Linked DNA regions of Xenopus tropicalis. The protein of the gene in region 2 interacts with the protein of the main gene of each other region in a pairwise test. Links are inferred from orthologs where the notes say so. Each region holds a gene or a part of one and is shown on either strand. Other genes may lie near its edges.

The links. The genes of interacting proteins can lie anywhere in the genome.
Region 1: the proteins of E3 ubiquitin-protein ligase TRIM39 (region 2) and prpf3 interact in binary tests that used the Homo sapiens proteins (3 or more experiments, as listed by UniProt). The two-hybrid records come from large-scale screens. The link is inferred for Xenopus tropicalis from reciprocal best matches to the Homo sapiens genes TRIM39 and PRPF3.
Region 3: the proteins of E3 ubiquitin-protein ligase TRIM39 (region 2) and lnx1 interact in binary tests that used the Homo sapiens proteins (3 or more experiments, as listed by UniProt). The two-hybrid records come from large-scale screens. The link is inferred for Xenopus tropicalis from reciprocal best matches to the Homo sapiens genes TRIM39 and LNX1.
Region 4: the proteins of E3 ubiquitin-protein ligase TRIM39 (region 2) and wdfy3 interact in binary tests that used the Homo sapiens proteins (3 or more experiments, as listed by UniProt). The two-hybrid records come from large-scale screens. The link is inferred for Xenopus tropicalis from reciprocal best matches to the Homo sapiens genes TRIM39 and WDFY3.

The regions. Positions count from the first base shown.
Region 1 is NC_030684.2:127,697,524-127,703,237, reverse strand, and holds the start of prpf3 (U4/U6 small nuclear ribonucleoprotein Prp3), read left to right. Parts: upstream 1-1,868; 5' UTR 1,869-2,028; intron 2,029-5,203; 5' UTR 5,204-5,241; coding exon 5,242-5,386; intron 5,387-5,714. UniProt on the Homo sapiens protein: Plays a role in pre-mRNA splicing as component of the U4/U6-U5 tri-snRNP complex that is involved in spliceosome assembly, and as component of the precatalytic spliceosome (spliceosome B complex).
Region 2 is NC_030678.2:143,270,641-143,276,397, reverse strand, and holds the start of E3 ubiquitin-protein ligase TRIM39, read right to left. Parts: upstream 3,379-5,757; 5' UTR 3,291-3,378; coding exon 3,200-3,290; intron 1-3,199.
Region 3 is NC_030677.2:39,806,991-39,812,840, reverse strand, and holds the start of lnx1 (E3 ubiquitin-protein ligase LNX), read left to right. Parts: upstream 1-2,004; 5' UTR 2,005-2,164; intron 2,165-5,850.
Region 4 is NC_030677.2:86,540,694-86,546,484, forward strand, and holds the start of wdfy3 (WD repeat and FYVE domain-containing protein 3), read right to left. Parts: upstream 3,847-5,791; 5' UTR 3,416-3,846; intron 1-3,415. UniProt on the Homo sapiens protein: Required for selective macroautophagy (aggrephagy). Acts as an adapter protein by linking specific proteins destined for degradation to the core autophagic machinery members, such as the ATG5-ATG12-ATG16L E3-like ligase, SQSTM1 and LC3.

The DNA.
Region 1 (5,714 bases), on a different chromosome or scaffold from region 2:
TTTCTCTACGTATTTTGTTTACGTTTAGAGAAGTATAATGCACTAGCACATTCAATAGCTACTCCTCGGCCTGGAGTAGCTATTGATGCAGAGGAGGGAGAGTGTTTTCAGGGATAGATTTATAAACCATTCTGAGCAATTCCATGTAGGCAATAGTTGTATCTGTATTCGCACCACTTTAATGTAGTTTGTCATCGTATAATGAAGCAAAAGATAGGGACAGCCCAGTGTTTCTAAACTTTGAGTTTCAAATAAGGCACCACTTAGGGCAAGATTCATTAAAGTAAAAATCCAAATCAAGAAATCCGATAGTTTCTGATGTTGGCAAAAGTCACAAAAAATTCCGTTCGTTTGAATATGAAGATTTCGTACTTACGATACGAAAGTTCCGAAATTTTCATATTGAAACGATTGTTTGCGAATTGTGATCCGATAGTCACGAAATTTTCGTATCCGAACAATTGTAAATGGCGGTAAAACCTGACTTTGAACCTTCTGTGCATGTTTTTGGAAGCCTCCCATAGGACTCAATGGCACTCTGCAGCTCCAACCTGGCCCAAGGAAAGTCTCCCATAGGGCTCAATGGCACTCTGCAGCTCCAACCCGGCCCAAGGAAAGTCTCCCATAGGGCTCAATGGCACTCTGCAGCTCCAACCCGGCCCAAGGAAAGTCTCCCATAGGGCTCAATGGCACTCTGCAGCTCCAACCCGGCCCAAGGAAAGTCTCCCATAGGGCTCAATGGCACTCTGCAGCCCCAACCCGGCCCAAGGAAAGTCTCCCATAGGGCTCAATGGCACTCTGCAGCTCCAACCCGGCCCAAGGAAAGTCTCCCATAGGGCTCAATGGCACTCTGCAGCTCCAACCCGGCCCAAGGAAAGTCTCCCATAGGGCTCAATGGCACTCTGCAGCTCCAACCCGGCCCAAGGAAAGTCTCCCATAGGGCTCAATGGCACTCTGCAGCCCCAACCCGGCCCAAGGAAAGTCTCCCATAGGGCTCAATGGCACTCTGCAGCTCCAACCCGGCCCAAGGAAAGTCTCCCATAGGGCTCAATGGCACTCTGCAGCTCCAACCCGGCCCAAGGAAAGTCTCCCATAGGGCTCAATGGCACTCTGCAGCTCCAACCCGGCCCAAGGAAAGTCTCCCATAGGGCTCAATGGCACTCTGCAGCTCCAACCCGGCCCAAGGAAAGTCTCCCATAGGGCTCAATGGCACTCTGCAGCTCCAACCTGGCCCAAGGAAAGTCTCCCATAGGGCTCAATGGCACTCTGCAGCTCCAACCTGGCCCAAGGAAAGTCTCCCATAGGGCTCAATGGCACTCTGCAGCTCCAACCTGACCCAAGGAAAGTCACCATACCGAAGCTTGAATGAATCCGAAACTTTTGTACTCTGCGCGACAATACCGTTTTGTCACGTAAATTTTGATGCATAGTACAAAAAAGTCTTGCAAATTAGCAAAAAAATGGTGAAAATACGTACAGTATGAAATATGATTTTTTTGTATTTGGAAGCGATCATACTTTGATAAATGGGCCCCTTAGACCAAAGGTTGGCAAACTTTTGTGGGGGATTTCTTTTTAATAAACAAAACCTGAATGCTATTTTTTAATAGTTTAAGGTCACAGCACCCCAATAGGAATTGGCCAGAATCCAAATTGACAGTATTTGCTACTCTTTAACAGGGCCACTATCACACATTGTCTTAGTTCTCTACTAGAGTCTTTTATGAAGAAAATTTGTACTGAACAATGCTAAATGCTGTATATTTGGCTATATTGTAGCTTCAGCAATAGTATTCCGTGGGTAACATCAGCCCGCCAAATCCCATCTGTGCGGAGATTGCGCGTTGCTAATAAAGTTATTGGGAAAAGAAATCCCAGCGTGCAGCGGGTTTCTCGGACACGTGATGCGGGTCAGAGTGGGCGCCAGACTGCATGCTCGTAGGACTTCCGGTTCCGTTTTGACGTCGGGTCTCCGTTAGTCCCCGGGTAGTGAAATCACAGGGAGAGAGGAGAGTGGCGGCTCTGTGGGTGAGTATGGGAAGTAGTTAGCGTGTAAGCTGTGTAACATTGCGTTTGGGCTGGTGTAGGCCTGAAAGGCCTCGGCCTGGAGTAGCTATTGATGCGGGGGAGGGAGGGTGTTGTCAGGGATAGATTTACAGATCGTACGTTCTGTGCGATTCCACGTAGGCAATCGTTGTATCTGTATTCGCGCTACGTTAGTGCAGTTTATCGTCATATAATGAAGCGCAAAATAGGGGCAGCCCAGTTTAGGGAAAGATACCAAACTTTGAGTTTCAGTTGAGGCACCACTTACACCGCAGGTTGGCAGGCCGGTTTGGGTCAGGACCTTCTGTCGGAACAAACATTAGGCTGGGGTCCACCGGAGTATCAGTCATAGTAAGTGGCCTTCCAGGAGTAAAACATTCTTCCCACATTTTCCCTATCTGCCCTTTAGTTGGGCCCCCTAAGAGCTTCAGCAACACCGCCTGGGAACCACTGACTTACACTGGTTGTATTTTGCTGTAGTTTATTGTATCTCATGGGTTTCACAAACACATGCGGATTATGTAATAAAAGGCACTAAATTTGCCCAGGTGCAATAACCCATAGCAACCAGTCAACAGGTATCATTTAATGGATACTTTTTATTGGTTGCTGTGGGTTACTGCTCCTGGGCAAATTTAGTGCCTTTTATTACATATGGGGGATCATTCCTACAGACCTCCCCCTGAGAACACGAATCGCTGAAATTTTTGCATGCCACACTGACATACCTATTCTGACCCCAGTAGGATATTTGCAAAAAAATCTGTCCCATTGAGAAACAAGAAATGTGTTGAAGCCAGGATGCTACTGAGGGTTGCTTAAAGGAAAACTATACCCCCGAACAATGTAGGTCTCTATAAAAATATATTGCACAAACAGCTCATATGTAAAACCCTGCTTCATCTAAACAAACCATTTTTATTAATATATACTTATTTAGTAGTATTTGCCATTGGGTAATCCTAAATTGAAAATTGCCATTTTAAGAATTAAGGGCCGCCCCCTGGGATCATAGGATTCACAGTGCACACAAACAAGCCAAGGCACACATACATGCTAGGCCCCATCAGCCAATGAATGGGCAGAGTTCTGCCTTTTACTCCCACACTACTTCCTGTTACAGTTAGAGCTGCATTATTTCCTGTCAACTGATCTCTGATTGAACACACAGCCCATCACTAAATGGCGGCTCAAGGGAAAAAGATGTAAAATGGCAATATTTACTGATATATATATTCCGGTTTGGTGAGATTCTTTAATAGTTCACTTAACATAATATAAACTGTTGGATAAGTATTCATTTTGTGGGTATAGATTTCCTTTAAGGTTGGTTATATTCCATAAAAAAGTAGTATGGGAATTCCTTTTGGGTTAAAAAAAAGCTTTTTGAGGTCAAGCATTTTGTCTGCTAGCCCCTAAACCTGTTATAGCTTTACAGATATAGGAAAACTATTTTTCATATTTATTTTCATAGATATTTGGGCTAGTAAGCAAGTCTTTATTCCAAATCTTGCTGTATAGGATCAATTTTTTTTTTTTAGCTCTAACTAGGGGAGCAAAGGGGCATTCCCTAAAGATCACCCCCGAATCTGTATTCTCCTTGCCCTCCACCATTATAAGAAGTGGGGAACATACTTCTATAGAGTTATTACAAGTACATAAAGTACTAGAATAGTAAATGTAACATTCACTAAAATTAGCAGGAATATACTAAAATGAAGTTAGAGAAAGATAATGAATTTTTCTCTGTGGGTACAGAGTGATACTTTGCCTCTCTGGGCAAATGCTAAATTCCTCCCACTGACACAGCATGCAGTTGAATGCAAACATTTGGTCCTCCCTGACCAAAATACATATTAAGTTAATTTTTCTAATTGAAAAGGCAGTGATCAAGCTGAAGGTTTTGGAATGGCCCTCACAATCCCCTGACTTATCTGCAAGCCTGTTGGTAGATCATAAACATTCATAGCACAGGCCACAGAATATCTCTGCAGGGATCTGCAAGGAAACGTGGGCAAAAATCCTTGAATAGAATTTTGTTCTTTTATTAGGCAAAAAACTTATTTTGGGATGACATGTCCTTTAATTACATATGCCATTTGGCAAGGGGTGCCCAAACTTTTTGAGGAAAAACATGTTTAATATGTCTGTTATCTATCTTCTTTATTAATAACATTGGCAAGTTTCCTGAATATAAGCAGATGCGTATATGTCTATACGTATATATCAGTCTGTAGTACAACTGAATCTGTTAGATTTGTCTGTTTGCAAAATGGGGTACATATAGGGCAGCATGGGGGGTTAGCTTTGCTGCTTCCAAGAGCCTTGTCTTGGATTTGATTCTGACCACATACAAAAAAACACCGTTTAGTGGAAGCTCAAGAATAACATGAGGCCTGGGTGCACGTTGCCCATACTTGCTGTTTGAGGAGACAACCCAGGATATGAGCTGGCACTTAGAGACCAACAAACAAATTATAATGTAGACTTTATTACACTAACCTGTCAGGATACAAAAAGCATTATGCCTTTCATGATAAAGTGTACAAGGCTTTTTAGAGGGGTTATGGAGTAAAAGCACTGTGTTTGCCCAGGAGCAGTAACCCATAGCATTTACTGGTCACCTGTTTGAAAGCAAACATCTTATTGGTTGCTATGAGTTACTGCACCTCGGCAAACATGGTGCCCTTTTATTACATATAGGCGTTTCTGTCCTGATATGTTCTTGTAATTAAGTTTTCATTTTATTTACAATTCCTATTTGTGGGTATCCTTAAGTGTCTGATCATGTCTTGGGTTTGATTTTGACCAGGGCCTGATCCAAATGGCTTTGTATGTTCTGCCCATGTTTGTGTGGGGATTCTGCCATTGCTCCTTTTTCAGTACAAATAGATGCAGGTAGGCTAACAGGCTTCTGATGAAAGTGACCCTACTGTATTTGTATAAATGTGGGAAATTAAGGTGCAAGCTTTACCAGGCAGTGGCTGTTATGTGGTTCAGTATTCTCTGTACTACCGTAATACAACCTGTTGAATATTTACTGTAGTATCATGAGTTAAAAAAAAAAAAAAAAGTGCTGTTCACCGAGGGAGACAGAAGTGGGAGTGCTAAATGTCAATTGTTGAAATAACAGACTTATTTCAATTTTTTTGTGCAGTTTATACAAAGGCAGCACTCTTACTCTTTCCAGTAAACATGGCTCTTTCTAAGAGAGAACTGGATGATTTGAAGCCATGGGTGGAGAAAACTGTGAAAGGAGTCTTGGGCTTCTCTGAGCCTACAGTAGTCACTGCAGCTCTAAACTGTGTGGGGAAGGGAATGGACAAGAAGAAGACTGTTGGTAAGTCGGTGGAAATAATATATCATTTGTTATGTAGCAAAGAAAAATCTAGGACATTTACATTTGTTTTATGTGCAAGGCTTGCTTGGGGCCTGTGCACCTATAGCAACTAATGTGCAGGTAGCATTTAGTGAAGAAATTATTGGTTGCTATGGATTACTGCGTGTGGGTAGACTTTGTCTTTTATTACATATGGGGATATTATTTTGTTATTAAAAAATATATAAATGCAAAAAAAATAATGCATGCTGTGAAAGACTGTATTAAGAATAGTAGAGAGCATGACTAGAAAGATAAAAAATAATAAAATTGTGTCCTCGCTGATTTA
Region 2 (5,757 bases):
GGGGGAGATTTATTAAAGTGTGAGTTTGATTTTTCTCGCGATTCAAGTTTTTTTTGCACTAAAAAAAAAACTTACATTGGAATTCTGTTTCAGGAATGTCTGCTATTTAAAAACCCAAAAACTTGAATGTACAAATTCACCATTTAAAAGCTTGCCAGTTTCTATAGAAGTCAATGGGACTTGTACAAAGAACAGAAATTTACATGCACATGTAATAAAGCACTGGAACTTGTAATTAAATATATATTGGAAAGTTGCTTGAAATGAAATGGATTGTAGTATGTGCTATCGGGTAATCCTAAATAAAAAATTGGCATTAAAATTGCCTTAAAAATTAAGGGCCGCCTGCAGTGCACACAAACAAGCCATAGCACACATACAGTACATGCTAGGCACAGAGCCCATCACTAAATGGCGGCTCAAGGGAAGGGATGTAAAAGGGCAATATTTACTGATATATATATTCCAGTTTGGTAAGATTCTTTAATAGGTCATTGGTTATGTATTCATTCTGGGGTATAGTTTTCCTTTAAGCTTTTACCTAATGAAAGAATATACTGCTACAATTGTAAACACAAAATGTCTTTTCCTGTACACCATAAATGTTTTTTTTTTTCATTTGCTTTCTACTTTTCTTTTTTCAATATTTGAGTGTTTTTCTAATATTAATGTTTAGGGCAGGCGAAATTGTAGGATAAAGCCCTAAAAATAACAAATCGGAGGATGTTCTGAACATGAAATAGTTGGCAGACACCAATCGTACAAAAGTGACTTACTGGAAATGCATTGCAGGTCCCCCAAGGATATCGTCAGGTAATAAATACATGCACAGATTTTATAATTTTCCGAGCAAAATTTTCTAACCTGGGATTGCCATGGTACACAAATTATCGGGATGATAATTCGGATCCCACACAAGGTCCGAAATATTTATGAAACTGCGTTTCGTACGATTTTATCAGTGCACATATGGCCAGCTTATTGCTGATGCCACACAAAACTGATTTTCGGCCTGTGGAAAAACACAGGCAGAGAATCGGCCCCTCTGCTGGCAACAAAAGCGGCAAAAGCAGGCATTTTCGGTCCAGTCTCCACTCCGCTCCATGTACCTGCACTCAAGCAAAAGTTGTACTTTTAGTGTAGGTAAACAGAGCTGCGTAAGGGAATAGATCTGCTTCTCTCACCTGAGAGAAGCAGAAGAAATGCTCTATATGTCCAGGGCCTACATTTTATTAAAGGCAGCTGCTAGAATTAATACAGTAGTTACTAATGTTTCACATGTTCTGCTGAGAAATCTATCAATTCATGTAGCAAACTATAACAGTTCAGAGTAACCTGGATTACTGAGATACCAGACTGTAGCACTTGAGACTTGAATATTAGGGAGAGGGCACACATAGTTACATAGGGTTAAAAAAAGACCAGTGTCCATCAAGTTCAACCCATCCAAGTAAACCCAGCACACCTTACCCACACCTACCAATCTATACACTCACATACATAAACTATAAATACAACCACTAGTACTAACTGTAGATATTAGTATCACAATAGCCTTGGATATTCTGATTGTTCAAGAACTCATTTAGGCCCCTCTTAAAGCATGTATAGTCTGCTTCTTTCTGCCTGCATTGGGCCAGGCAGAGAGAAGCAGATCTGCTCTAAACACTTCTGTGAGTAGCTGCACTGACAGACACAGCATCGGCCTTAATGCAGCTACACGGCGCAGAGACTGGCCTGAAAATGCCTGCTGTCGTGTTTTTCTGACCAATCACTGCTCTGTCTAGCAGCAATCAGGCCTATGCTATCACTATCAGTGCAACTACACACAGAAGCGTATAAATCAGATCTGCTTATCAAAACCTGCCTACCAAATGCAGGCCGAGAGAAGCGGACCATATGTCCTGTGTGCTCTCACCCTTAAAGAGCATGTCAACCCAAAAAATATATTTTGCCTAATAAAAGAAAACATAGTTCTAAGCAACTTTCTAATATGAATTTATAAACAAAAATGTTAGTGCTTCAAAAGTTATTTGTGAATGTAACTGCTATTGAAAGCAGCATTTAGTTAACTCCTGGTTGTTACTTTTTAAACAATGTTTCAAAGGTCAATCTCCTCCAGCAAGTCAGGTCTGTCAGTCTGCTGCTTGTGTTACAGTGATTCACAAGGCAGAGTTACCAGGGCAGAGAATACACATATATATATATATATATAAAGCAATGAAAAATTTTCCTATTTGGTGAACTGTTTAAACCGTAAAAAGCGTTTGGAAGAACTTGGGAGAATTCTTGGGACCAAGCTTTCCAGGGATTCTTTCTTAAAGGAACAGTAACACCAAAAAAATTCAAGTGTATGAAAGAAATTCCAATATAATGTACTGCTGCCCTGCACTGGTACAACTGGTGTTTTGCCTCAGAAACACTACTATGGTTTATATAAAGAATGCAGCTGTGTAGCCATGGGGGCAGTCATTCAAAGGAGAAAAGGCACAGGCACTTAGTAGATAACAGATAAAACACGATTGTATTCTACAGAGCTTATCCGTTATCTGCTATGTAACCTGTGCCTTTTCTCCTTTTTTCCAGCTTGAATGGCTGCCCCCATGGCTACACAGCAGCTTATTATATAAATTATAGTAGTGTTACTGTAGCAAACACACAACTTTTACCAGTGCAGGGCAACAGTGCATTATATTTCATTTACTTTAAAACTCTTTAATGTTTTGGTGTTACTGTTCCTTTAATTCAGAAGACTATGCTTAAAACCTACTAAAACGTGTTTAAAAGTTGAAAATAAACCAGAATACAAATGTTCTGATATCAACAGTTCGCTCATATTGTTTTATTGAAGGCCACATACAACACATACAAGGCATTTAGTAAAGAGAAAGCATGATGTCATGATTATGGCAATGGGGCCGTGGGGCTTTGTGTTGCTGTGTGCAGCTCAGTTGAATGAGGTTATCATGTGAATATACAGAAAGCAGCAGTTTGTGTGATTGCTGAATTAGCTGACAAACATGTGGTGATTCCAATGTGCTGCCATGTTTGGCCTAAGGGGAACTGGGATTTTCTTTCCCAGAGACAACAAACCCCCTGTGTGCCATTGCCCCTAGGCTCAGCCAGCCTGCATTTGCCTATACAGCACACCCCTGTCACCATGCTGCAAATAGCAGGCACCTTCCTCCATGGTGCATACCTTGCATTCCTCCTGTTAAACTCGACAAAAATGCAGTTGTGGGCTCGGAATCCATCTTTAATTCAGGAAGCTGGCACTGCTCTAGCCACATGTGGTGCTGGGGGCTGCCTCACATAAAGGAGACTGAGAGCAGCACGGAAACAATGAATGTGAATGCGCCATGGTACACAACCCTGCGCGCTTACCTGCACCGCACCGACTCGCTCGGCTCGCAGGAAACTAGAAGTCAGCACATACCACTTGGACGTAGAGAGAGGGGGGGGGGGATGATTAGTAATATAAATCTACGTTTAGAATTGGGTTGCTGAATTTGCTAGCAGGTTGTCAGGGCTTTAGAGCAGGTTAAAGGTTTCATACTGGAATATAAATGCAGGCTGTCCTCACTGCCGCTTTAGCGGTGTCCGGTATATGGGCTCCAAAGCCTGTTTATCAGAGCTGAAGGGAGACCCGTGTGTAGGCTGTACTGACGGCTGGGCGTGTCCTCTCACTCTCCCGCAGGAAGGTGTCATAACTGTGAGTGACAAGGAGACCTGCCCAAGCTCCTCCTCCTGTTTCTCTGCACAAACTGGGACACGTTATGTTATCTTTATCCTACTTGTGATAAAAGAAGTGCTTCTTTAGGGCTCTGGCACACGGGGGAGATTAGTCGCCCGCGATAAAACTCCCTGTTCGCGGGCGACTAATCTCCCCGAGTTGCCTACCCCTGCCATCCCACCGGCGAACATGTAAGTCGCCGGCGGGATGGCAGACGCGGCGGCGCGATTTCGCGCAAATCGCGAGTCTTTTTCGGCGATTCCCTGAAATTGCCCCGCCGCGTCTGCCATCCCGCCAGCAGGGGTAGGCAACTCGGGGAGATTAGTCGCCCGCGAGCAGGGAGTTTTATCGCGGGCGACTAATCTCCCCCGTGTGCCAGAGCCCTTAGGGCTCTGGCACACGGGGAGATTAGTCGCCCGCGGCAAAACTCCCTGTTCGCGGGCGACTAATCTCCCCGAGTTGCCATGACCTGCCATCCCACCGGCGAACATGTAAGTCGCGAAATCGCGACGAAATTTGCGCGAAATCGCGCCGCCGTGTCTGCCATCCCGCCGGCGACTTACATGTTCGCCGGTGGGATGGCAGGGGTAGGCAACTCGGGGAGATTAGTCGCCCGCGAACAGGGAGTTTTGCTGCGGGCGACTAATCTCCCTTGTCACGGGCGACTAATCTCCCCGAGTTGCCATGACCTGCCATCCCACCGGCGAACATGTAAGTCGCCGGCGGGATGGCACACGCGGCGGCACGATTTCCCGATATCGCCAAAAAAGACTCGTGAGGCAGGTCATGGCAACTTGGGGAGATTAGTCACCCGTGACAAGGGAGATTTGTTGCGGGCGACTAATCTCCCCGTGTGCCAGAGCCCTTAGCCCTGGCTGGGGGTAGTTATGTTTAGGAACCGCAAGATGCACAATATTGTTATCTGTACTGGCGTGTTGTATATAACAAACTCACCTACTTAGATTGTAAGCTCTATGGGGCAGGGACTGCCTTCCTACTGTGTCTCATACCACATGGCACTTATTCCTTGTGTATTTTGTACTTATTTATTGTATTTATTATAACACTTGTCCTCCCTGTGTGTAATTTTGTAAGATTGTACATCGCTGCGTACCCTTGTGGCGCTTTATAAATAAAGTTATACATACATACATACCTCTTGCGCAATGCCACACAAAGCATTTTGTTTCTAAGGGGATATCACTTCCAGCGGGCAAAAACATGACAACAAAAATATTCCACTATGGGTTTAATGTAAATTGCAACAGGCATTTTATTCAAATCACATAATCACAGATAAATGCCTGTAGATGCATTTTGTGCTATTATAAGATTTGCATGATATAGGGGGAGATTTATTAAGACACAAACGCCCGGAGCATTCATTCGAACGCTCCGAGTGTATTTTCGCCAAAAATATAATGGTTTTTGTCATCCACCAGGAAGTTAAAAGTGCCTTTTTAGCTGTAATTAAAGTATTAAGTAAATAGTTTGGATCAAAAAGGTGAATCATTGAACCCTACATTTATTGGTAGTATTTGCTTAATATGATCACTATATTCAGTGGAATAGCCATTGCAAGTTTCAGGAAACACAGTAGGGTAGGCACCCAGCTGGTCATAAACTAGCCTGGGCACTAAACATGGGAAATAAAAGGTTCTGTTTCCTCTACCAGAGGCATGACTGCTTTATAATAAGTCAAAGGGCCCATGACCAGTCCTTAAAGAGAAGGAAAGGTAGAATCACTGAGTTGTTGTCCACCCCCATTGATTCTAGCCTGGCAAAATAGCGCTTGCAATTGGAGAATGTTGGGCTGGTGCATTTTTTTAAAGAAAAGGGTTGCCAGCTCGGGGTAGGTGGTTGGCAACAAGACATCACCCCCAGTGACTCTACTTTTTCTTCTCTTTTAAATGTTGAATAAAAGATCTCCCAAATATGGCACTGTGGCTGTGGGGACCAAGGATAATAGATGAACAAATGCCCATACCTCATGCACTCTTACCTTCCAATTTGTGCCTGTGCCT
Region 3 (5,850 bases), on a different chromosome or scaffold from region 2:
ATTTTGATCAGGCGCCTTCTATCGGTCGACTCGCCGACATACCATACACGCACCGAATATCGTACGAAACGAGGTTTCGTACGATATTATCGGTGCGTGTATGGCCACCTTTACTATGGGCCAAAGGCAATCAACCCAATCAAAGACAAACAAATAGCACAAAGGCCCACCATTAGGGCAGCCAACAATTTTATTTTATTATGAACTTCACAAACCGCTCAGAAAACACAGGCCAACAATCAACCGGGTGCATTTACATGGGGTGAATTTCTGCACCAAATGCATACTTGCATATTTTTGCTCTGAAATCTCATCCATGTGTTTGCACTTGGGCTGATCTAAATGCTAAAGGTGCAGGGAAAGGCTGATGCCAGCGTAGAGGCTGATTCCTGGTCTGCATTTGACTGCATTTATCCACAGGCCAAGAATTAGCCCTGTGTGGCATTAGCCTTACACATCTACAGCTTTAACACACCTTAGAAATAAAGCAAAAGGTTGGAATAACAAAGCTGTATAAGCAAAGCAAAGAAAACCATCGAACTTAAAATAACAGAGCATTGTGCAATCTGCATATACATATGTTTTCTATCAGTTTCACAAGACTTTTGTATACTGCAAGCAATATAATATCCCTATGAGACTAGTAACCACCCCCTAAAATATATTGACACCCCCTTCCCTCTCTGCTTTCCACAAAAATTTGGGGGGCTGCCCCCATACTTGCACCACTACTTCTAGTTGTCTCAGATGCTTATTATTGAATTGTGAATTGGGGGCAAGTTTTGAATGAATAAAAACCAAGTGTACTGCCAAACAGAGTCTCCTGTAGGCAGTCAGTCCAACATAGGGGCAAACACTCCCAAGGTTGGGGGCCCCTGCTCTAGCACATAGGCAGTGCAGCCTTCAGGTTTTTGTCATGTTTTACTCTAAGCAGAATCTCCTACAGGCTAACAGTCCACATGGGGATACCAAATAGCCAATCACAGTCCTTACATGGCATCGCCAAATAACTTTTTGTGTGGCTTACCAACACTTTTTACATCTGAGTGTGGCTCACGACAAAAGGCTGGGGATACGTTTTAAAAGTCAGTTTAAAAAATGTGATAAAAACATGGGATGACCTTGGGAATAAAAGATGGTTAGTAATTATAGGTTATTGTACATTTGATCATGTACAGCAGCTCATACACTTAGGGCTCTGGCACACGGGGAGATTAGTCGCCCGCGGCAAAACTCCCTGTTCGCGGGCGACTAATCTCCCCGAGTTGCCTTCCCCCTGCCATCCCATCGGCGAACATGTAAGTCGCTGGCGGGATGGCAGACGCGGTGGCGCGATTTTGCGCAAATTGCCGAAAAAGCCTCGCGAGTCTTTTTCGGCGATTTCCCGAAATCGCCCCGTGTGCCAGAGCCCTTAGGGGCAGATTTACTAAAACTTTCTCATTTTTTTCATGTGTGAAAATATGTGCGGATAAAAGTCACAAAACTTCAATGTTGTCAAATTGTCCCACCAATGCCTCTTATTTTTGAATTGTAATACAAAAAAACAGCATCGAAAATCCAAAAACCTTAAAAGTTTCAAAGCAAAGAAGGATCATCCAGGGAAGGGAAGAGACACCTGCTATTGACTCCTACACAATCTCGACAAGTTTTAGCTGGCAAATTGTCAGATTCAGATTTTAAGCCATTTTGTGACTTTTTTTAATGCGACTTTTAGCGCTAAAAAAATCTGAATTGGAAAAAAAATCCAAGCATTATTAAATGGCCCTCATAAAGCGCTTAACTATGCTGAGTGGGGGAAAAATATTTTAATTTGTTTACTTATTTGTGTAATTAGAATCAGATTCTAAAGAAGAGAAGGTTATAACCCTAGTAACAACCAAAACAGAGCTGACAAGGTGGCAGTGACTGCCTGGGAGCGGATCACATACAGGTAGAGTCAGTGTGATGCAGCCTGTAGGTGTGAGCTGGGCTTGCTGGGTGGGTGTGGCTTGTGATGTCACTAAATGCTTTGTGTTGAACAATCAAGTAACTCAATTACAGGAAGGGTTGTGTTGTCTTCTACCTTGTTACTGGAATAAACACCCGCTGCTCTTTCTACCTCTGCAGGCAAAAATGGCCATAATAGTATCAGGACCCTGTCCCCCCTCCTGCCCATGGAGCTAAGGTGAGTGTTTGATTTGTTCTTCCCTGTCCTGTATGACTTTATTAGGTGGAGCTGACTGAGCAGGACACAATGACACACTGCCTGTTCATACCGGTCTGCAGCTCACTTTCCTATTGAGCTACAATACAAGGACTGGCGTATAAGATTTAACATTCTGGTCACTTCTCCCCAGGTACCTGGTGTCAGGAAAGTAATATAAATATACAGGATTTGAAGTTTTCCTTTTAACCACTTGTGGAATTCTTCAACACACAGGGGACACAGCGAGACAACTAAATGCCATGGCAAATCAAGTCCCAAGCTGTAATGTCACTCTTACATTGTTGTTATTTTAATGTAAAGCACAAACTTAATCTAAAGTGTTGTACATAAAAGTGCCTTTTAGTAAAATCATATATAACAGGAGAGGTACTAGGTATATTACAGTCTACAAGTTACTTAAGCATGAAAGGTTTCTGTCTAAATGGTTAAACCTCTAATGGGGTGCTATAATAAAAAGTACATCTGTGTTGGGCCTGCTAGCCCATAGCAACCAACCAGTCGATTGCTTTCAGATGGGTTACCAGCACGTGCTTCTCAATGATTGGTTTGAATGGGTTAGTATACCTGGGACCTGGGACCTTGCAACTTTTATTGCATTACCCCTTTAATGTGAAAACAAAACATTATCTTTCTTGGTGTTGCCAAACTGCAACTCACAAGGTACTTCATAGGATAAGCATTTCTGCTGTAATATGAGTCTGGCATAAAGTAAGTGACGTAGCATTTGCAAGCCTTTTGTTAGCCCAAGGGTTTGCCCCCAAGTACTAAATCTATATCTTGCATGGTTAGTAACTAAATCATTCATATGCATTACATGGCAGTCAGTGCAGACTGCAACATACAATTAATTGCTAAATAACTATTTAGTGGGGGGGTTCTGTATAATCCTAGATAAAACTGCATGGTTGTTGTATGTACTCCTCTTCTTCAATATATTTTATAGGTGCACCTTTTTAACAGTGATTTCTAATGCTATTTACATTAACAATTCCCATGTGTATGTATCCAAATTTTGACTTATTCTGGTCATATAAAGACATTCAAAAATTCTCTATTAAATAGGTAAAATGCATATGATGCCAGTTGAAAAATGGGCATAAATGCTGGTCCATGTAACCAGAAATGTATTGATTTGGAGAGACGTTAATTGTTGTTCCAGTAAGGAACAACCCCCTTATTTTATGTGCAGTATTAGTGGTTCTGCCATTTTGCATATAAAACTTGATATGAGTGCTCACAGTGGCCCACAGCATTCACATCCAAGGAGTTTTCTTGCTCCGGCACGCACAGCAACTCACACCAACCAAAAGCTGCTGTCCACTTACAGATGAGGAATAACATATAGGTCATTACTTCCCCAGTGACATATATTAAAGGCATCACTGCCAGTGCATCCCTGGAACTTTGCGTACTGTACTTTCAGTTGTCTTTTGTTTATTCCATATATCTCCAACTTGCAGCCCTCCAGATGTTGTTAAAGTACATCTTCCAGCATCCCACCGACAGCCAAGGAGTGTCATGGGGCAGTGGGAGATGAACTTCAACAACATCTGGAGGGTTTTTCTGTTTCCCATTTGCGAGTTTGTTCAGTAAGCACTAAATGTGAGTATGGACAGGTCCAGCAAAGCCAGGGGAGCCCCTCACCCCTTATCACTGAGTTCCAAGTTGCTGATATAATAAATACTTATATTATTGGTGGTGAGCCCAGTACAGGAAGGAAAGCATTTGTGGAAAGCTTAATGAGCTGTCGCACTGCTGCTAAAGGCCAACCGGTTTTGCTCACGTTTATCTGAGGGAAACTCACATGCAGTTCTCATGGAACAAAAACTCTCCTAGCTTGCTATGTAAATAGACTGTGTTTACTTTTTAAAAAATGAAGAAAAAATGCCTGATGAGGTTCTAATGCAGAGAAAATATTTCAGGGAAAACTTATTGGCCTTGCTTAGAATGGAAACAATATATTTCACTATTGGCCCAACAACTTGCCTATTGTTAAACATTCCTATTCTATGTTTCTGCACTTCTATCTAGCTTGCCAACTTTCTTTTTCTAGTTATATCTAGGTTTTCGTAAAGTGATATGTTTTAAAAATACAGCAGATTCATCCCCCTTAGCCTTGGAAAACTTGGCTTGGCTCTGCTAAATAACCTTGTAAAGGCTCATGGGACGCACTAGAGCTGTACTGGCCCCACTAGAGCTGTGTTGGCCCCACTAGAGCTGTGTTGGCCCCACTAGAGCTGTACTGGCCCCACTAGCGCTGTGTTGGCCCCACTAGAGCTGTACTGGCCCCACTAGAGCTGTACTGGCCCCACTAGAGCTGTACTGGCCCCACTAGAGCTGTGTTGGCCCCACTAGAGCTGTACCGGCCCCACTAGAGCTGCACTGCCCCCCTCCTAGAGCTCTACTGTTCCCCCCCCCCCATCTAGAGCTGTATTGCCCCCCTTCCCCCTCCTAGAGCTGTACTGGCCCCACTAGAGCTGTATTAGTACTTTCAAGATTTCTAATGCAAGGAAAAAGGACCATTAGCTGTAAAGCTCCAAAGTCTGGCACTTGTCCGCTAGTATAATAATGCCATGTGTGCTATAGACCTAAGTGCATTGAATAGCTGATTTGTGAAACTTTTGTTCTCCCCCCACGTAACCTTGCAGGGTTTACTGGTGTGAAGGTGCCAGAAATGTACATTTGCTTCTATTACAGTTACTTGTGACTCCCCTAGGAACCTAGGCACGGAGTAAGTATTACTGAGGGTATTCAGTTCACAGTTTTGCACCAGTGCAGTAACCCATAGCAAATTAGTTCTGATCAATAGTTAAATGTAGTCATAACAAAGGTCTGGTTGCCACAGGTTGCTGCGCTGGTATAAAGTTCCACATACAATATCTTGAATCCTCCCTATCCAGCCTCAATGACCATTTTATTATAGACTTTCTGCCCTCCAGCTGCAGTTACAATACAACTTCCATCATCCCCTACTATCAGAGGTGGGGTCTGTTGACGTATAACAACTGATGGAGGACAGATGTTTGGAATTCCCTTTGCTTTGCTTTTTACAATCACAAAGATGCTCCTAATGACAAGTGAAACTGTACTGAATGCAGGAATGCAAGTTTGGGCAATTTCCAGCTAATACCATTATAACCTAACAGAAACCTGCATGTTAAGGCAAGTCTAAAACTTCTGCCAAAACATCTATAGATCAGAAACTTGGCTTTAAGGGAACGGTATCTTCCCCCGAGGGGTCGGTGGCATGTTAATTAGACTTAATTATTCCATGAACTTAATTCTTTTTTCACGTTGCTAACTATAGAATTAAACCATAGAATGTGCCTGTGCAATATCATTGCCCATGCTCTGTTACATGTATGACCCACAAGAGCAGTTGTGGTTGTGCTGTTGTTGCATGAATATACAACATTCCATAAAGGTGCGTACATCTAAAGTGTCTAAAGCGGCCTCTTGAACTCTCACATAGTTGCACTAAATGCTGTTGGTTATACCTCCTATTGTAAGTTACACACAGTGTGCCTATTGATGCAGGGGAACCAGTGGTGTAAATACTCTGCACTGGACCCCCTGCAAAAAAAAATTCAGAGGGGCTTGGTAGCAAACTCTACATGCCCCTCCCCCCCACAGGAGTTCCCCCG
Region 4 (5,791 bases), on a different chromosome or scaffold from region 2:
TGATTATGTGTTGGTCTGTCTAGTCCTTATGGGATATGGGTAAAATGGCACAAGGACCAAGCTAGTATCCCTGAAAAGCATACATCAGCAGAAAGATAGCCTAAGCCAATTCACTCCATCCAGTTATTGGTCTGTGTAGTAAGTTCTTATACCTTCTTAATGGCAGCAGAAATCCCCTTGAGAGATAGCATCAGTTAAAAATGCACTGCAAATTTGAGGGACTTCAGGAGACACATGAGCAGTACTATTACAGCAGTACAGGTACAGGACCCGTTATCCAGAATGCTCGGGACCAAGGGTATTCCGGATAAGGGGTCTTTCCATAATTTGGATCTCCATACCTTAAGTCTCCTAAAAAATCAATAAACCATTACTTAAACCCAATAGGATTGTTTTGCATCCAATAAGGACTAATATATCTTAGTTGGGATCAAATACAAGGTACAATTTTAATACAGAGAAAAAGCAAATCAGTTTTTAAATTCTGAATTATTTGATTAAAATGGAGTCCATGGGAGACAGGCTTTTTGTAACTCGGAGCTTTCTGGACAATGGGTTTCTGGATAAGGGATTCTATACTTGTACTGTGTATTTTACTAAAAAATTACCCTGGGCTGGATCCATTTTATCCGTTATTTTTAATTCTGCTTTTACCTTGGATAAACATATTTGCATAAATTCTTCAATTTTGGTACATGTGCACAACTTTGTTCAGCGCAGAGAAGCACAGAAAAGAACAGGCCATTGCAGTCTTTAAAGAAAACGAGTGTGTGCACAAACCAGCCACAATAGTGGCTCCAAAGTTCAACCTTTCCAAGTGAACCCCAGCACACACAAACCTATCCTGACATATCTATACACTCACATACATAAACTATATATAGAGTACATTACTTTTTGTTACTTATTGTATAACCACTTTAAATTTACAGAATGCCTAATAAATAATTTCACTTCAGAAAACTAAATCTCCCTTACTGTTTTGCAGGCAGGCAAATGTAGTCTTTTTTTGCTTATTTTATCTCTATTTAACAAAAGAATACCTCAAAAACAGGGCAGAATTCACGCATAATGGCATGTATAGGCATGGGATCCCTTATCCAGAATCTAGTTATCCGGAATGCTCTGAAACACAGAACAGCACAAAACAGCAACATGGTAGATACCATATACTCTGTTTTAAACAAATATTTAAAGTTTCCTATACCTGTACATGTATGTAGCATATTATATACATCCTTTTAACATACTTCTAAAACCACCTATACCAGTCTTGGTACGAAAATAACCTTGATATATCTGATCTATATCTTTAGTTTGTTGCACACAACATACATTCTTTAAAAAGAATATACTGACCACTTACAAATCCTGAAATGTTTGGACAGCAAAGGTAAAGCAGTGTCTAAGAAGTGCTTAGTCCAAATATTTTTAATTGGTAATATATAAACATGTTGCCACTTTTCACAGTAAATGTGGCCACTGAATTTGAGCTTGCGAATTAAGTTTCTTTTCCTCTCTGTGGTGTAAGCAGTATAACAAAATATGCATGCATTAATTCTCAAAATGATCTTTTATTTTCTAAAAAGGTAAATTCTCACATGCAAGAAACTAAGAATAAGCATTTTGTCAAAAACTCAGAAAACAGAGCATATTGAACTCATACTTACAAATTACAGCTACTGCTAAGCAAATATCATATTTATGCCTCTGGGTCTTATACTCCTATACCAGCTAAACCACAGCTGCAGTAACTCGGAAACATTGCATAATAACTGGTCAAAATTCCATCACATGGCAAACAATACATACTTCGGAGACAATTCCTTAAAGGGGTCCTTCACCCCATAAAGAAAGAAAATGTAATTTTAAACAAATTGCCAATTCATATTCTTATATTTTAAGCAGTTTTAAAGTTATGTGCAAAATGTGATAGCAACTGAAGGCAGCACCAGAAAGCTGTTTAGAATTACATATAAAACAAACATACAACCACAAAAACTTATTCTACCCCTCCTTTGTCTTTGAACTGCATATGCTGTGCAGGGAAATTTCTAAACCAGAAGACTGAATAAAACACTGAAATGCTTCATCCATTTTTATGATACACCTAACAGCTCATGTGCCTTCCTATACTCCTTGGGGTAGCAGCATGTTTTAGGAGAATGCCAAATGTGTACTGATGGTATATAACTTTTACTCCTGCAGGGGAATATAATATAACTATTTATTATGTCAGCTGGGTACCCAGTAATTATGCAAAGAAAAAGTTTGAAAATAGTTACATAAAGCAAGGGTAACAAGTTCATTTTACTACACTGGGTATACCCAGTATAGTAAAAATTAACTGCGCACATACATCTACACAATCATCCTGATTAGACCTTGCTTAGGCTAAGTAATTTATTTGCACAATAGTGGTCACGAGTTGCTATGGTTGTGCAAGAATGTTTGCAGAAATTTAGGAACATCCCCATCTCTTTTAGCTATAAACACCTATAGGTGATTGAACTTGGAAGTAACCAACAGAATTCCCTTGAAAATGTATGGAGATTTTTGGTAATCACCGAACTACAGCATATTCATAGACAACAAGAAGAGTGTTAACAATTAAAATGGTTAACAGTCTTTAATATCATTACAGTCATTTTAAAGGTTGTTATGCCTTTATTTTTTGGCAGACAGCATATATATATATATATATATATACTTTATCATGTTTAGCAGGAGATATTGCTTGAGAAAAATTTACAGTTACTGTGTGTCTGCTTGGGTTTTCTCTGGGTACTCTGTTTACTCTCACACCCCAGACATAAAAGTCAGGCTTATTGGCTCCTGAAAAAATTGCCCACAGTGTGTAAATGAAAGGGACTTAAAACTGTAAGCTCTATTGACTGGGGAAAAGACATATGTTAAGGATGTCTGTAAAGTGTTGCAGAATATGTCAGAGCTATATAAAAAAAATTCTAACAATAAAACGGGTTTCAGGTCAAAACTCATTTGACTCATGAAAGCTCCACTGCAATTCCTGGGTCAGCTTCTTGTGACCTTGGAGAAGCCACTGCCCTGTACCCCAGAAACCAAAGATAAGACTGTAAACGAATTTGTTATACAGGGGTAACAAAAAAAAAGGGGGGGGGGCTTTACACAATAAAGCAGTACAATAAGCTGCATTATATAAATGCAGATACACGGAGTACAAGAACTGCCAGCTAGACCGCATCCTAGCAGAGGCAAGGGAAGGAATAGTAATAGGAACTTCCCCCTTTAAAATTGCTATGTAATGCCTAGCAATGCTTCAGAGCAAAGAAAAAAAATTATATTCATCACAACACAAGAGATGATTTATACATTAAAGGCCTGCGTTTGTCTATGTATCGCCCCGCAATAGAAAGATGAGTCCAGCAGCACTCACCGTTGTGCAGGGTTGCAGAATAAAGGGAGAGCAGGATTGAACACAAACACAGCCTGTCCTCTTCCTCCTCCTACTGCGGCCCAGCGCCTGGCATGCTTGCCTTCAATTATTCCAAACAATCGCTTCCAAATAAATAGTAATTCATTAATATGTCACTTCAGACAAGGAACCAAATGAAGAAAGATGACTCAGATGGGCCTTTGCGCCCCTGCTTTGCCGCTGTGACCTAATGACCAGCCGTCCGTGCCACCGCTGTGCCAGGTGCTGTTCTTCCCTTCTTTCGTCCCCTTCCATTAATGCTGACCAGCCGGGTCAGCCGGACCATCCCGGGAAGTCAGTAGCTGGTGCTGTTTTCAGCAGCTGCCGGTGGCCATTTTTTCTGATCTATTCCTCCTCCCTCTTCCTGACTCATTCCGAGATCTTCCCTTTCCCTTCGCCTTCCCCTTCCCCCTCCCGCAAAAGCTCGGGCTGTGGAGCTTAGGGACTGTATGAAAAGCTAAAAACATACACTGGTACTATAGGTGATGATGCTTGTGGATATAGAAGGGTGTTAGAAAAAGGTATAAAAGACTGTAATTAAAGTTATTCGGACACAATTCCAATATAATATAATACGTTTTAGTTTCTTCATAATTCCACTGCCCCACAGACAGTCGGAAATATGTATGCTTTTGTGATCAAACGATAGTAATTGTAACTTCTGATTACTGATTCAACTATCATCACACAATTTCATTTGATTTGCCATTAAACAAAGGAGTACATAAGTATACCCTAATGCTGAGTCTGAGTTATAGTTTCAGGGGTTGGTTGCCTAGAGGGCCCTGGTGAAGTGCAGCAAACATGCACATACTCAGCAAGAAGCAAATGTTGTAAGGCTGTGATGGATGGGCTCTTGGTGTCCCAGTTGTTTTCCGCATGTGTTACTGATAATAAAAAATTGATACAAGCTTAAAATATTTTCCTATTATTACCTATTTTATGTTCTTCTAATGTGGTACTCCAAGGGGTCCAGATTAGGATTCAGAATTGGCCCTGGCTTTTTAAGTGCGCAAAGGCTCAAACAATTCCCTGAAGACTGATAAATAGTGATTGCCTGCCAGGCCCAGACTGACAGTCTGTGGGTTTTGGCAAATTTCTGTACCTTCCAACAGCCTTGTCAGTGGTGCAGAAGTGGTATGCTGATGGAACCATGCTGTACTACCTTGATTTGACAGCGGCAATGTCAAATTTGCAGTGCTGTTATCACAGCTCTCTAGCTAGAGGTACATGTGCTCACCTCCCCTCACTGTAAATAATGCATGTACCCTCTGCCTTGCACCTTTCTCTTATATAACCTAGTTTTTCAGCACCCAAAATTTGCTCAAAAAGTAACCCTCGGCTTATACTCGAGTCGGGTGCCATGGGTCCCTCCAAACTAGCACCCTCTGACCTTTGTGTGCAAATTAGGCCATCCGCAACCAGACCCTCCAGTGCCCTGGCCCGCTCCCAAATTTATCTTCATCTACCATCCTCACCTGTCCCATTCTGCACTAGACATTTCACTTTATATTCTATATAAACTATATATAGTTTTGGAGGATTTTAACTCTTTGTGTTTTAGCTTGGTTGCTGAGTACTCTTAAGGTATCATTGTTAATAAAACAATTGTTTTTGTTGACCCTCCACTTACAGAGCTAGTTTACAGTTTTTATTTGAAATAAATATTTAAAAACATATACCCCACTGATGCCTCATTTAATGTAATGTTATTGGTATTTATTTTGATGAAACTTAGCAGTAGCTGCTGCATTTCCCACCCTAGGCTTATACTCGAGTCAGCACGTTTTTCCAGTTTTCTTAGGTAAAATTCGGTACCTCGGCTTATATTCGGATTGGCTTAAACTCGAGTATATACGGTAATCATTGTGCCGCTGCCTACTGCCACTCACTTAGTGTGATTGGGGCATCAGTTCCCACTGTGTTAAACTGTATATAATGTCCTTGGGGTGTTAGTTTTCTAAATAACTGGGATGCCAGTTGCCACTTCCCCCATTTTAAATTATGTTCTTGGAATGCCGTGGGCATCCAATTTTTTCACATTATTTACTGTAGTTGGAGTGCCGATGCCCACTGACTTTCTTCAGTTACCAGTATTTAACCGTATTAAGTACTTGTAATGTCAGTGCCAACTACTTTACCCTGTATATAACCTGTCTTTGGGTCCAGTACCCACTGTTTAATATTCTTGGGGCTTAGGACCTATTACTCTTATTGTTTAAAGGACAATGAAAGGTTAATATAAATTAAAAGTAAGTCTAAAGGCATTCTTATTAAGTACTTACTGCATATCTAAATTCCCAGATCCCTGCTTGCTTCTCTGAGATATGTTGCTGG